Linked DNA regions of Arabidopsis thaliana. The protein of the gene in region 2 interacts with the protein of the main gene of each other region in a pairwise test. Each region holds a gene or a part of one and is shown on either strand. Other genes may lie near its edges.

Evidence for each region.
Region 1: the proteins of SLAH3 (region 2) and CPK21 interact in a protein complementation assay, tested with the Arabidopsis thaliana proteins (2 studies listed by BioGRID, with this or other methods).
Region 3: the proteins of SLAH3 (region 2) and CPK2 interact in a protein complementation assay, tested with the Arabidopsis thaliana proteins (one study listed by BioGRID).

Annotation. Positions count from the first base shown.
Region 1 is NC_003075.7:2,396,101-2,399,859, forward strand, and holds the start of CPK21 (calcium-dependent protein kinase 21), read right to left. Parts: upstream 1,660-3,759; 5' UTR 1,532-1,659; coding exon 829-1,531; intron 375-828; coding exon 231-374; intron 150-230; coding exon 1-149. UniProt on the Arabidopsis thaliana protein: May play a role in signal transduction pathways that involve calcium as a second messenger. Mediates the phosphorylation and activation of the S-type anion efflux channel SLAC1.
Region 2 is NC_003076.8:8,121,276-8,125,034, forward strand, and holds the start of SLAH3 (SLAC1 homologue 3), read right to left. Parts: upstream 1,640-3,759; 5' UTR 1,353-1,639; intron 1-1,352. UniProt on the Arabidopsis thaliana protein: Slow, weak voltage-dependent S-type anion efflux channel involved in maintenance of anion homeostasis. Binds to the highly selective inward-rectifying potassium channel KAT1 and inhibits its activity.
Region 3 is NC_003074.8:3,333,361-3,337,119, forward strand, and holds the start of CPK2 (calmodulin-domain protein kinase cdpk), read right to left. Parts: upstream 1,627-3,759; 5' UTR 909-1,626; coding exon 1-908. Other genes in the region: NAP7 (non-intrinsic ABC protein 7), read right to left, coding at 1,965-2,048, 2,140-2,316, 2,764-2,886, 3,015-3,236, 3,342-3,392, 3,585-3,759. UniProt on the Arabidopsis thaliana protein: May play a role in signal transduction pathways that involve calcium as a second messenger.

The DNA.
Region 1 (3,759 bases), on a different chromosome or scaffold from region 2:
AACCTGTGCAGCCGTGATTCGTCTCTTCGGGTCTTTGGTTAGCATCTTCCTAACAAGATCTTTCGCGCTTTCAGATATAGAAGGCCATGGCTCACTTACAAAATCAATTTCGCCTTTTATGACCTCATCGAATATTCCTTTCTCATTTTCTAAAATATAACATATGAATATAGATCACACCTCAAGAAGAAAACAAATCAATGAATTTGGTTAGCTTAAAGGTCTTTTACCGGCCCAAAAAGGAGGTACACCGCTGAGTAGGATGTATAAAATGACACCTGCACTCCAAATGTCGATTTCTTTTCCGTAACTTCGCCTTAATACTTCTGGAGCAACGTAGTAAGCACTCCCAACTATATCCCGGTAAACTTTTCCTGCATTTGTTGGTTTCACAGACATATCATGAAGCATATTAACATAAGAATCAAACTAATGAAAATTACATACTTGACAATATCATAAAGATGTGTACAAAAGACAAGATAAACTCGATTCTCGGTACTAAAGTGTCTTGAGTCTCATCCCTATGCATTGGAACATAAGACAACAATCTAGCTCATGATCAACGGAAAAAAAAAGTGCAGATCTTAAATACCAAAGAATATGATCAATCTTCAATGAACAGAGAAAACACAAAATCAATTGTTTTGACCATGACACTCTCACTGTTACTCGAAAACAAGAAGTACTCAAGCTAGAGATCACAATGCAATGAACTACCAAACTCTTAATCTTTGACACTAAAGAGACTAGACAAGCTTATAGATTCCAAACACTAACAATCCAAAACCAAAGACCAAAAAAGGCTATATTGAGTCTCTAGCTAACCTTCTTCGATGAAGACGGACAAACCGAAATCAGTAGCTTTAAGCATAGCATTCTCCTCTTTACTCGAAAGCAAGAAATTCTCAGGCTTGAGATCTCGATGAACCACACCCATAAAATGACAAATCTGAACAACATTGACAATAGACCTAATGATACCAGCAGCAGCTCTCTCAGAGTAATGACCTTGAGCTATAATCCTATCAAACAACTCACCACCAGCACACAACTCCATAACCAAATGTATAGATTGTCTATCTTCATAAGCACCTTTGATCTCAACAATGTTAGGTTGTCCAGACAAATACTGCATTATCTGAATCTCTCTCTTCACATCTTCTTTATCTTGCTTACTAATTAGCTTCCTCTTAAGAATCGATTTGCAAGCATAAGTGTTACCAGTACCAATCTCTTTACACATATACGTAATCCCAAATTGACCTCGACCTAATTCTTTCCCCAAGCTGTAAAATTTCCTGATGTCTTCGAATGGTTTACCTAAAATCGTATCTGGATCTCGAACTGAGACTGGATTTGAAGACGGTGTTGAAATCTGCTGATGGATTGGTTGAGTCATGGGTTTTGGTGTTGGGGTTTGAGGTTTACGATGCTCGGGGACTACATGGGTTTGAACTGGATTGATCGGGATTGATTTTTCTCCGCCGTCGTTTTGAGTTTTCCGGTGTTTACTGCTGAAGCAACCCATTAGTAAAGGAGGAGACTTTCGTTATTGGGTAGAAGAAAAAGATGAGCTTGAAGGATGATTGGAAGAGAGAAACCAAAATCGGAAGAATAATTGAGTTGTGAAGGTTTTGTTTGACTGGAATTGGAATTATCTATCAGTCGCGTCAATTTCTGAGTGTAATAGATAGAACTGTTTAAGTAAATTGTCTTTTGTCTTTGTCAATTTGCTGAAAATAAAATATCCACAATAAATTAATTATATTTAAAATAAATTAAATTTGACTTACATTTTTCAAAGGAATTTTATGGTAAAAAAATTTCGAATATTTGTTCTGGAACGGAAAAATTCCTTGTTTTATTGGACGGGTACAGAATATTCCATTTATAATTAGAAAAGTATTGAATTTCGAACTGTCAAGTGTCAATATTATTTTTAATTTCAAAAAAAAAATAGTGTCAATATTACTTTGATATATTTTTCCATTACAGCTGATATAAAAAAAAGGTTAATGATAAAAAATAACCATAAAATTAAACAAAATTAAAAAAATAATTTTTTGTCAGAAAATTTAGATAAATAACATTTTTTAAAGTAGAATAAATACTAAAAAATATCTTTCTATTTTCTTGTTTCTACAATAATGCCAGTGATAATAAATCAGAGTTGATTAACATCTGAATAAAAAACATGAATTATTTACAGACAACATAGTATCTAAATGAATTAATATTTTATTAAAACAATACATGACAATTATAAAAGGAACATGCATTATTCAGAAGAAATACATCTTATTGTTCGGATAGGTATGAATAATATTACAGTAGAGAACATGAAATATTTAAAAGGTGTAGATCTTTTATATAATACCATGTATTTTTAGAAAATGCATGTCTAATATAAAATGAACATGCATTATTCAAAAGAAACATATCTTATTGTTTGGATGGGTAGGAATAAGATACGTGATTACAATAGAGGACATGAATTATTTAAAAAGTGCAGATCATGTCAAATAAATACACTGCTTTTAGACAAAATACATGCCTAATATAAAAGTAACATGATATATGAAATGATAACATAACATTGAAAGAAAATCTTAAACTTTTGAGGGTGAAAGCAAATCTCAGATTCTAAAAAGAAACGATATCGGAAATAGGTAAATCCTATATAGACCAAATAAATGGAAGAGCTCAATGGTTGAACCACCAAATTGATGAAAACCAACACCGTGAACGGCTATAGTCAAATGATTTACTAGAGCTTGTGGTGGTTATTGTGATGGAGATGGTTATGGAGAAGGTGATGATGGTTTCGGAGAAATAAAAAATTAATGTACGGTTTGGTTTAGTTAGGGTAAAAGTGTCATAAATGAGGTGTAAAAGTTATTTTCTCTCTCATACTTTTTATCTATGGTTATTCTCTTTATTCTTTTGTTGTCAAAGGTTAGTTAGTATATATACTCTAAAAAAATAGTATCGATCTCTTTAATTCGCCGCTACGAAGGCTTTGATTGGGCCTTGTATAATATTGAATTTTCCTTTGCGATGATGACTAGAAGTTGTTGATTACTCATGAGAGAAAGATAAGTTTGTTTTTTCTTGGGATAATGAGAGCTATTTACAATGTTATTTAAAGCCATGAAAAAACAAATTTAAATAAAAGATATGATTTGAACTTAATTTTGTTGTGTTGCCACTTCTTAAGTTTGATAAGCTAGTAAGTGTGATAAGCTAGTGAGTTTGATAAACTAGTAAACTCTAAATATATTATGAGTTTGATAAGCTAGTATGCTCTATATATATATATATAGTTGTGCAAAAACTTATTATAAGTTTGATAAACTAGTAAATATATATATGTGAGTTGTGCAAAAACTTACTATAAGTTTGAATAAGATAGTAAGCTCCATATCTACTATGTGTTTGATAAGCTAGTAAGCACCATATATATATTTTGTGTTTCATATGATTTATTGCATAATCAATTGTTCATTTAGTAAACTTACTATTATGCATAGTAATTTACTAAAGGAAAAAAGATTGCTAGCTACACGAAGTATAAGAGAATACATGGTCACACATACCAACTATACTATTGTATATCCAGCTACACGAAATAGATGTATTCCATAACCACGTATATGAAGTATAGGACGTCATGTAGTTAACACCATAAACATACAATTCCGGTAAACCGGTCAGTTGACTCCGGCACTGACTAGTGTTGACCGGCGTTGACCAAAA
Region 2 (3,759 bases):
CCCTTCGCAATTGCTCTATAACATGGTTTGGAAAATGAATTTGGGATTTATATTTTCTAAAATCATAAACTAATAAAATCTAGTGGTTTAATTAGGCCGATAATTAAATAAATCTGACCTAAATTCTCCACATTTAAACATCATACCTAATATACATTTTGCAAAGTCTAGTGGTGTTGCCACTAAGCTGGTTTCCCAGCTGTATAGAATTAGACTATACTTAGTCACTTACCCTATATTTATTGGAAAATGATGCATGTTATCGGCTAGAAAGAAAAAAGAAGGCCACTATTGTTTGTTTATCCAAAACAATTGCACTTAAAACCTATAAATACTAGTGTGCATTTGGGCGCCTTTGAGAATTCTCCTCAAATCAAACAACAATCATAAATAGAAAAACAAGAAAGCACAAAGAATAGAATAAATACAGTTTTCTCTATTTTTTTCGTTTTCGAATTTTAAGCTTTCCTTTTGGTTTCTGACTTTGAGTGGAGTAAATTCTTTGAATATTTGTTTAAGAGAAACTATAATTTTAGAAAACCAACAAAACTGTAATTTTAGAACTGCATTAATAAACCCTTTATTGCGATGTTCCACGTCAATGATCAAAGCTAAACCAATCTAAAACATCGCTGTTTCAAAAAGTCGTAGGTAAAATCAAGACTCCCATAATTAGGAAATTAAATATATAAAAAGCTAACTAAATTGGTTTTAATTAACGAAACAAAAACTCCTATTAACAACAGAAATAAAATTATATATATATATATATATTTCTTTTTCCTTTCTTTTTGGCTGTACAAGAAAAAAACTTTAGAAGAAAAAAACAAAATAGCAAAAGATCTTAAATGGATGGTGTGGTGCTATGTGCCCATCAACTCATCGGGTCCACTTCAAAGTTATGGCTCGACCGGCCAACAACGCTTATGAATATTTACGCGTTTAAACGCTATTGTTCATGTTCCATCGCTTGTGAAAACCGGTTTGAACATATAAAAATCACATACATGTACTAGTATTAGTAAACCAGGAATCTTTGTAAATTTTACATCACATTGGTTCACAGCTAAATTGGCATTTGGGGTTTAGTAAGGTAATTTTTGGTTTCTGGAATCAATTTGGGTTTAAGAAAGAAAGAACGAGGAGAAAAAAAAAAGAAAAGAAAAATCAATTAATAAATTTATTAGTTCGTAATAAGAACCCTAAGGTCATATAAAAGAAAATCAAGAATCGCATGTAGCCTATGCATGTTCTCAAGAAAGGATTCACAAAAATGTTGTTTGTGATGTAATGAACTTTGTTAACTACGAATCCAAAAACAAAAAAATGGAGAAATGGAATAAAACACTAACCTGACGATTTTGAAATTTTGCAGCCGTAGAAATCAGAAATGGTGTTTAAAATCTACAGATCTTCTCTTATTCTTGTAGAGATAAGAATTGTGTTTTGGTAGGGAAAGAAGCGAAGACGAATTAGGAGAAAATAGAAAAAAAGCGAGTTGGTTTGGGCGAAAACAAAACACGTCTTTGTACTATAAATAAGTGTTCACGTAAGTACAGTTACGGAAACATGATAGTGTATGTATTTGTTAAATGTATAGCTGTAATTCAAAGCTTTCAACGTGGCCGTCTTCTTGTTGATCAACTAGTCATGGTTCACGTCATTGACAATCTCAAGTAATTTTTTGTTCTTTTTATTATTTTTTGTCACAATTATTTAGTTTTTTTAAGCATTGGTCAATAGGTGGTGGACCACATTATACGAAACGGCCAAAAAACAAGGAAATTTTTAAAATATATTTATGAAAATGAAGTTAATATGGTATTTAACAAAGGGAAAAAACCCAAAAAAGATCTCAATTAATTTTTATTTGGACGTTTAATACCCAATTATTTTTTGTTGGAAGATAAATACACGAAATAATAAAATCGTACAATTTAATACACAAATAATTAATTGTTGTTATTTTCATACTCACGATCTCACAACAAAAATAAAATTGCAATTTATCCTTACCATCTCAATTAACTATTTTTTTTTTGATAATATGATATTAATTTTATAATTTTGAATAAAAATTAATTTTATTAATATTTTAGTTTATGATAATATGATATTAATTTTTATTGTGAGATCGTGAGTATGAAAATAACAACAATTACTTGTTTGTGTATTAAATTGCACGGTTTTATTACTTCGTGTATTTACTTTCCAACCAAAAACAATTGGGTATTAAACGTCCAAATAAAAATTAGTTGAAGTTTTTTTTGGGTTTTTTAACATTTAACAAATGCATAAAATATTATTTTGCAAAAGAAAAATAAATAAATAACTTTGAGTCTTGGTTTGTTTGATAATTTTTCTAATTTTTTTTCTTTGTTAAATATAATTACATAAATGATAAGCTTTTAAATCTTTTCATAATAAATATAACGTTTTTTTTTATCATATAAATGATGAGCTTTTTTGTTATTTATTCGTTTTTTGTTAATGTTTTAGAAATATAGTCAAGTTTTACTGGAAGGAAGAACAATACAATATGTTTGTTTGGGAGTAAATTCAGCTACGAAGTATATTTACCAATTACAATGCGACAAATAGATTTTAGATCCGCATGCACTTTTTTATAAACAGTTCTCCATATCCGTGTCTATCAGACATCTCCAAAAATTACTTAAGTGCAAAAAAGATAATTTGCATCATGCCACATAGAAAAAAGTTGACAATGGAGATGGACATAGCATGCAAAGTTAGTCATTATTGCAGCAATTTAACCAGCATGGATGCTTTAGATGGCGTATTATTGGGAGGCTACTTGAACTGAACCTACAGAAATAATTCCTACATAAGACTGATATCGCAAAGCAATGTACTTTAAGTTTTGGACTTTGGTTATCCAGTATCCAAAAATCTAATTTTTCGTTTTCACAAGGTAATGTATTTATTCCTAGAAATATGGTTTTACAATTTTGTTTTTACCACCTTATTGTTTTTCTATTCATAAATTCAAAAAATTTCACGTCTATTTCTCTTATATGGATTCTATCTTTTCATAACGTTTAAATTTTTGGAATCTGAGTTGGCGATGTTTTTGATATCTGTTTTTTTTTTTTTTTTTTTGGCTCGGGTATATAATATAATTAAAAATCATTTGCCAACAAGTTATCTATAACAGAATTATGGGCTAATTAATTAGGTGTATAGCCAAATTGTGGGATGGAAAAATACAACAAAACTGTTTTTAAGGAATCGAGTACACAAAACGAGTAATCCGCATTTTTTGGGGTAAATTACACAAAGAAATAGGAAAGAGGAAGAAACCAAGTTGGTTCACAAAACTTCTTCGCATAGATTGTGTCGTTAGGTACGTTTTTGGTTGATTGTTTGAATTAGGATTTTAGCTGTCACCGAATTGATTTTTCTTTATTTGTCCAGTTATATGAATATATTATATCTTAGTGAGTTAATCATAAATATAATAGTTTTTGGTTCCTGTCTACATGCGCTGTACATGAGTTTTGTCTTTAGAGCGGACAAAACTTAGGTTTGACCTAAAGCAGATTGATAATGCCAAAAGTAATAAAAATAAGATACACACCGGCAAACGTTTTGTAGATAGGTAATTTAAGGTTTTCCTATTAAAGTAATTTATCATCTATTAGATTGGTCTAATCGGTTGATGTAAATTATGTAACTGATCAAATCTCATTGAAGATATATTCAATTATTATATCCTTCAATTATATGCTAGACTAATTG
Region 3 (3,759 bases), on a different chromosome or scaffold from region 2:
GAGTGACAAGCCTCTAAAACCCCAACAATGGTTCTCGCAAGCTCAGCAGCTTTCCTCTCAGTGTAATGTCCACGTTGAATAATTCTATCAAAAAGCTCGCCACCCGAACACAACTCCATCACAAGATGTACCGCAACAACATCCTCATAAGCACCTTTAATAGATATAACATTCGGATGACCAGCCAAGTGATGCATTATCTGAATCTCTCTTCTCACATCTTCAACATCCTCATCAGTCAAAAGCTTCCTCTTGGAAATCGACTTGCACGCATATTCGTTCCCAGTACCTTTCTCAAGGCATAAAAACGTCGTCCCAAATTGCCCTTGTCCAAGTTTCCTCCCTAATGAATAGAACTCCTTAAAGTTTTCAGTTTTCCTCTGCAACACTGACTCAGTTCTAAGCCCTGCACTGGACACTCTCCTCATATGTTTAGGCTTCTGAGGTTCAGCTTTCGTCTCTGGCTTGGTTTCAGACGTTGTTTCTGGTTTTGTTGTCTCTGGCTTGGATTCAGACTTTGTTTCTGGTTTTGCTGACTCCGGCTGCACAACAACTTCCCGCTTACTTTCTTCAGGAGGAACTTCCTGCTTACTTTCTTCAGGAACAACTTTCTGCTTGGTTTCTTCTGCAAGAACTTTCTCCTTCTTTTCTTCAGGTTGGATCTCTAGATCGGGTTTCAGTTTAGTTTCGGGATTGGTCTTTGAGCTTGGCATTGTGATAGGCTCAGGGGGTTTATTCTGGACTTGATCAGTAGCTGGTTCTGAAGCTGCTTCTTTAGAAACTTGTCCATTACCATGGGAAGAAGAAGAAGCTTGCTCAGCTCCGATCCGTGGCCTCCACATTGCAGCCGTAACAGTTTGCAAGAAACCATTTCCAGAAATGTTTGGTCCAACGCAAGCATTACCCATCAAAATATCTCTCTACTTATAATCAACAGCATCAAGCTTTCCACATCAAGATCTGATCAAAAGAACACAAATTGACCTGATCTGATCTCATTCCTAATGATCATAGACACTAAAAGTGAAAGTCAAATCTCTTTATAATCTAAGACTTGGTTCTCTTGTGCAACGACAATATATAGGATTTGATCACTCCGGATCAGGCAATGATTTTAAAAACTCCGAACACCGATGGAACAAGCAAAAACCCTACTCGGGTCGATGCAACGGATGAATCTTGCACAACAACAATCAATCTGCCACAAGAAAAAAATCAAAATTTTCAAAATGGGAAAATCGAAAGTTTAAACGAACCCAACACAAAGAACGATGCAATGAACCGAATCCAGACAACAGAAATTGTCTGAAAACAAAGAGATCGATCTGGGATTGAAAAGAAAAGGAACAATATTGGTTTGGTATTTGTCGGAAAATAAGGGAGGGAAATCGAGAGAATGCTTAAAAGCACTACATTTGCATAAAAAGCTAAAGGGAGGTGTAATCTTGTTCGATAAGTCAATTACGAAGAAGATGAAGATGATGAAGGAAATTGATTGAACGAGTTTGAAAAACGCGTTTGGGTTTAATAATCATCAGCGAATTTTGCGTTCTTCTTGTCATAAATTATGAATTTGTTTTCTATTACCAACTCGTTCCAGCAGCAGCAGGCGATAGAATAATCAAATTAAATTTTATTTTGTCAAATTTCTCAAGTAATGTAAGTAACCACTAGGTTTGATTGGATTTGATCCACTTAAAGTCTCAAACTTTATAAGAGCATTTATAATAACAAAATTTATTAACTGAATTTTAAACTTGTTAGTTACAAAAAGGTGTGGAATACTGTTCACATCCCAATAAAGTAGTTTGTCATGCAAATTGCAAACCAAAACTACGGGTCAAAGATTGTAGTGATAGATTTCAGTTTCCAATCATCAGCTTTAGCTTCCATTGTATTTGTCCCATATAATAACCATGGTCTCTCAAAGAAGGAAGACAGGTTATATGTATGATCCGCGATAACTAACCGGATATCGCTTTGTAGCCTTCCTTTTCCAGTAGTTTGGCCAAGGAGTTGTCTCCGGTTTTAATGATTCTCCCATTCTCCTGAAACCCAAGGAAACATACATGAGCTTACCAAAATATATATGATCATTGTGTAGCCAGTAAAGAAGGCTGGTTTGGCAACAATGCTCACCATGATATGTATGAGAGTTGGTTTGATGTAGTCAAGTAGGCGTTGGTAGTGCGTTATCATCAGAACAGAGTTTTTTGGTGTCAAAAGCCCGTTCACCGCCTTTGCCACATCTTGAAGAGCATCAACATCCAACCCTGAATCAATCTCGTCCAGTATAGCCAACTCAGCTCCAAGGACCTGCAAGGACAGGAAAACGTTGCATTAGCGTACTTCCATGACCTCTTTCCATATATTGCTTACAAAGAATAGGAGACTAATAGTGTTCTCATGTTATCGATAAACCAGAAATGACCACTCCTTGGGAGGCAGATATTTCAAGATCAGGAAAATATAAAGAGATATGAAGACATATAACATGCCATGTCTTTTTAGCTAAAACTGCAGTCAAATACTTGTAATAGAATACTAACTGCCATGCAATAACCGCGTCTACTTATGGTAAAACCTGTAACTGCTTAAGCTAATCTACCCAGATATCCTGAAATTCCTAACTATTAGCCTTGTGGTTTTGCACACTGTAGCATGGAACAAGCTTAGTAATCCACTACCTTCTCTAATCACATTTGTTTCTTATCATATGCAGTCCTTATGGATACTGAGAAACAAGGGAAGCAGAACCATTACCGCTAACTGTAGAATCTCATTGCGTTTCCTTTCACCACCACTAAATCCTTCATTGACATTTCTGTTGAGAAAATCGGTCTTCATATTCACAACTTCGAGTTTTGATACCAAGTGGCTGTAGAACTGCATGAGCCATGTGATATCAGTAAGACATAATACATAGACAGTTCTACAATTGGGACCATTTAGCAAACAACAACAAGTAAGAAACAGTGCAAACCAAATCCAAGTCATTTAATTCGATAAGGCACCTGGATTGGATCAAGCTCTGGCTGACCAAGCTTTCTTTTCCGAGCATTGAATGCCATATTCAAGAAATCCATATTGCTAACACCAGGGATCTCAACTGGGGACTGGAAACTCATAAAGAGACCGGCAAGAGATCTATCCTCTGGTTCCATATCAAGTAGATTCTGCCCTTTAAACACAATACTCCCTCCCGTCACTTCATAATCGGGATGACCAACAAGAACCTACAAATAATAAGACTCTCACTAAGATAACAAACAGAAAGAGAACAATACTCTGCAGCATCAATGTTAATCCTGAGATACAAGATATACAAATAAAATGTTCACCTTCGAAAACGTGCTCTTTCCTGAACCGTTCTTCCCCATCACTGCGTGAACCTATTAGCAACCACAAAAGAAGCCATGGATTACAATCGGCAGCAATGCAAAACAAATCCACACAAATAGAATTCACAAGTTATGATATCAAACTCAAAACTTTATCATATAATGAGACAGCACTACCAGGCAAAGCTTTCTGCAAATTAAATTTCAAGTCTTAACCATAAAATTGCATTGATTAATACGCACCTCTCCTTCGTAGACAACCAAATTGACGCCTTTCAGTATCTCTTGTCTCGATTCAGCAATCACTGCTCTCAAATCCCTAACTTCAAGCAACGGGATCCTCCCCACGTCATCACGATCTTCCACCAACGAATCCGAATCGACGGCTGAGGATACGGAAGACGCCGAAACAATAACT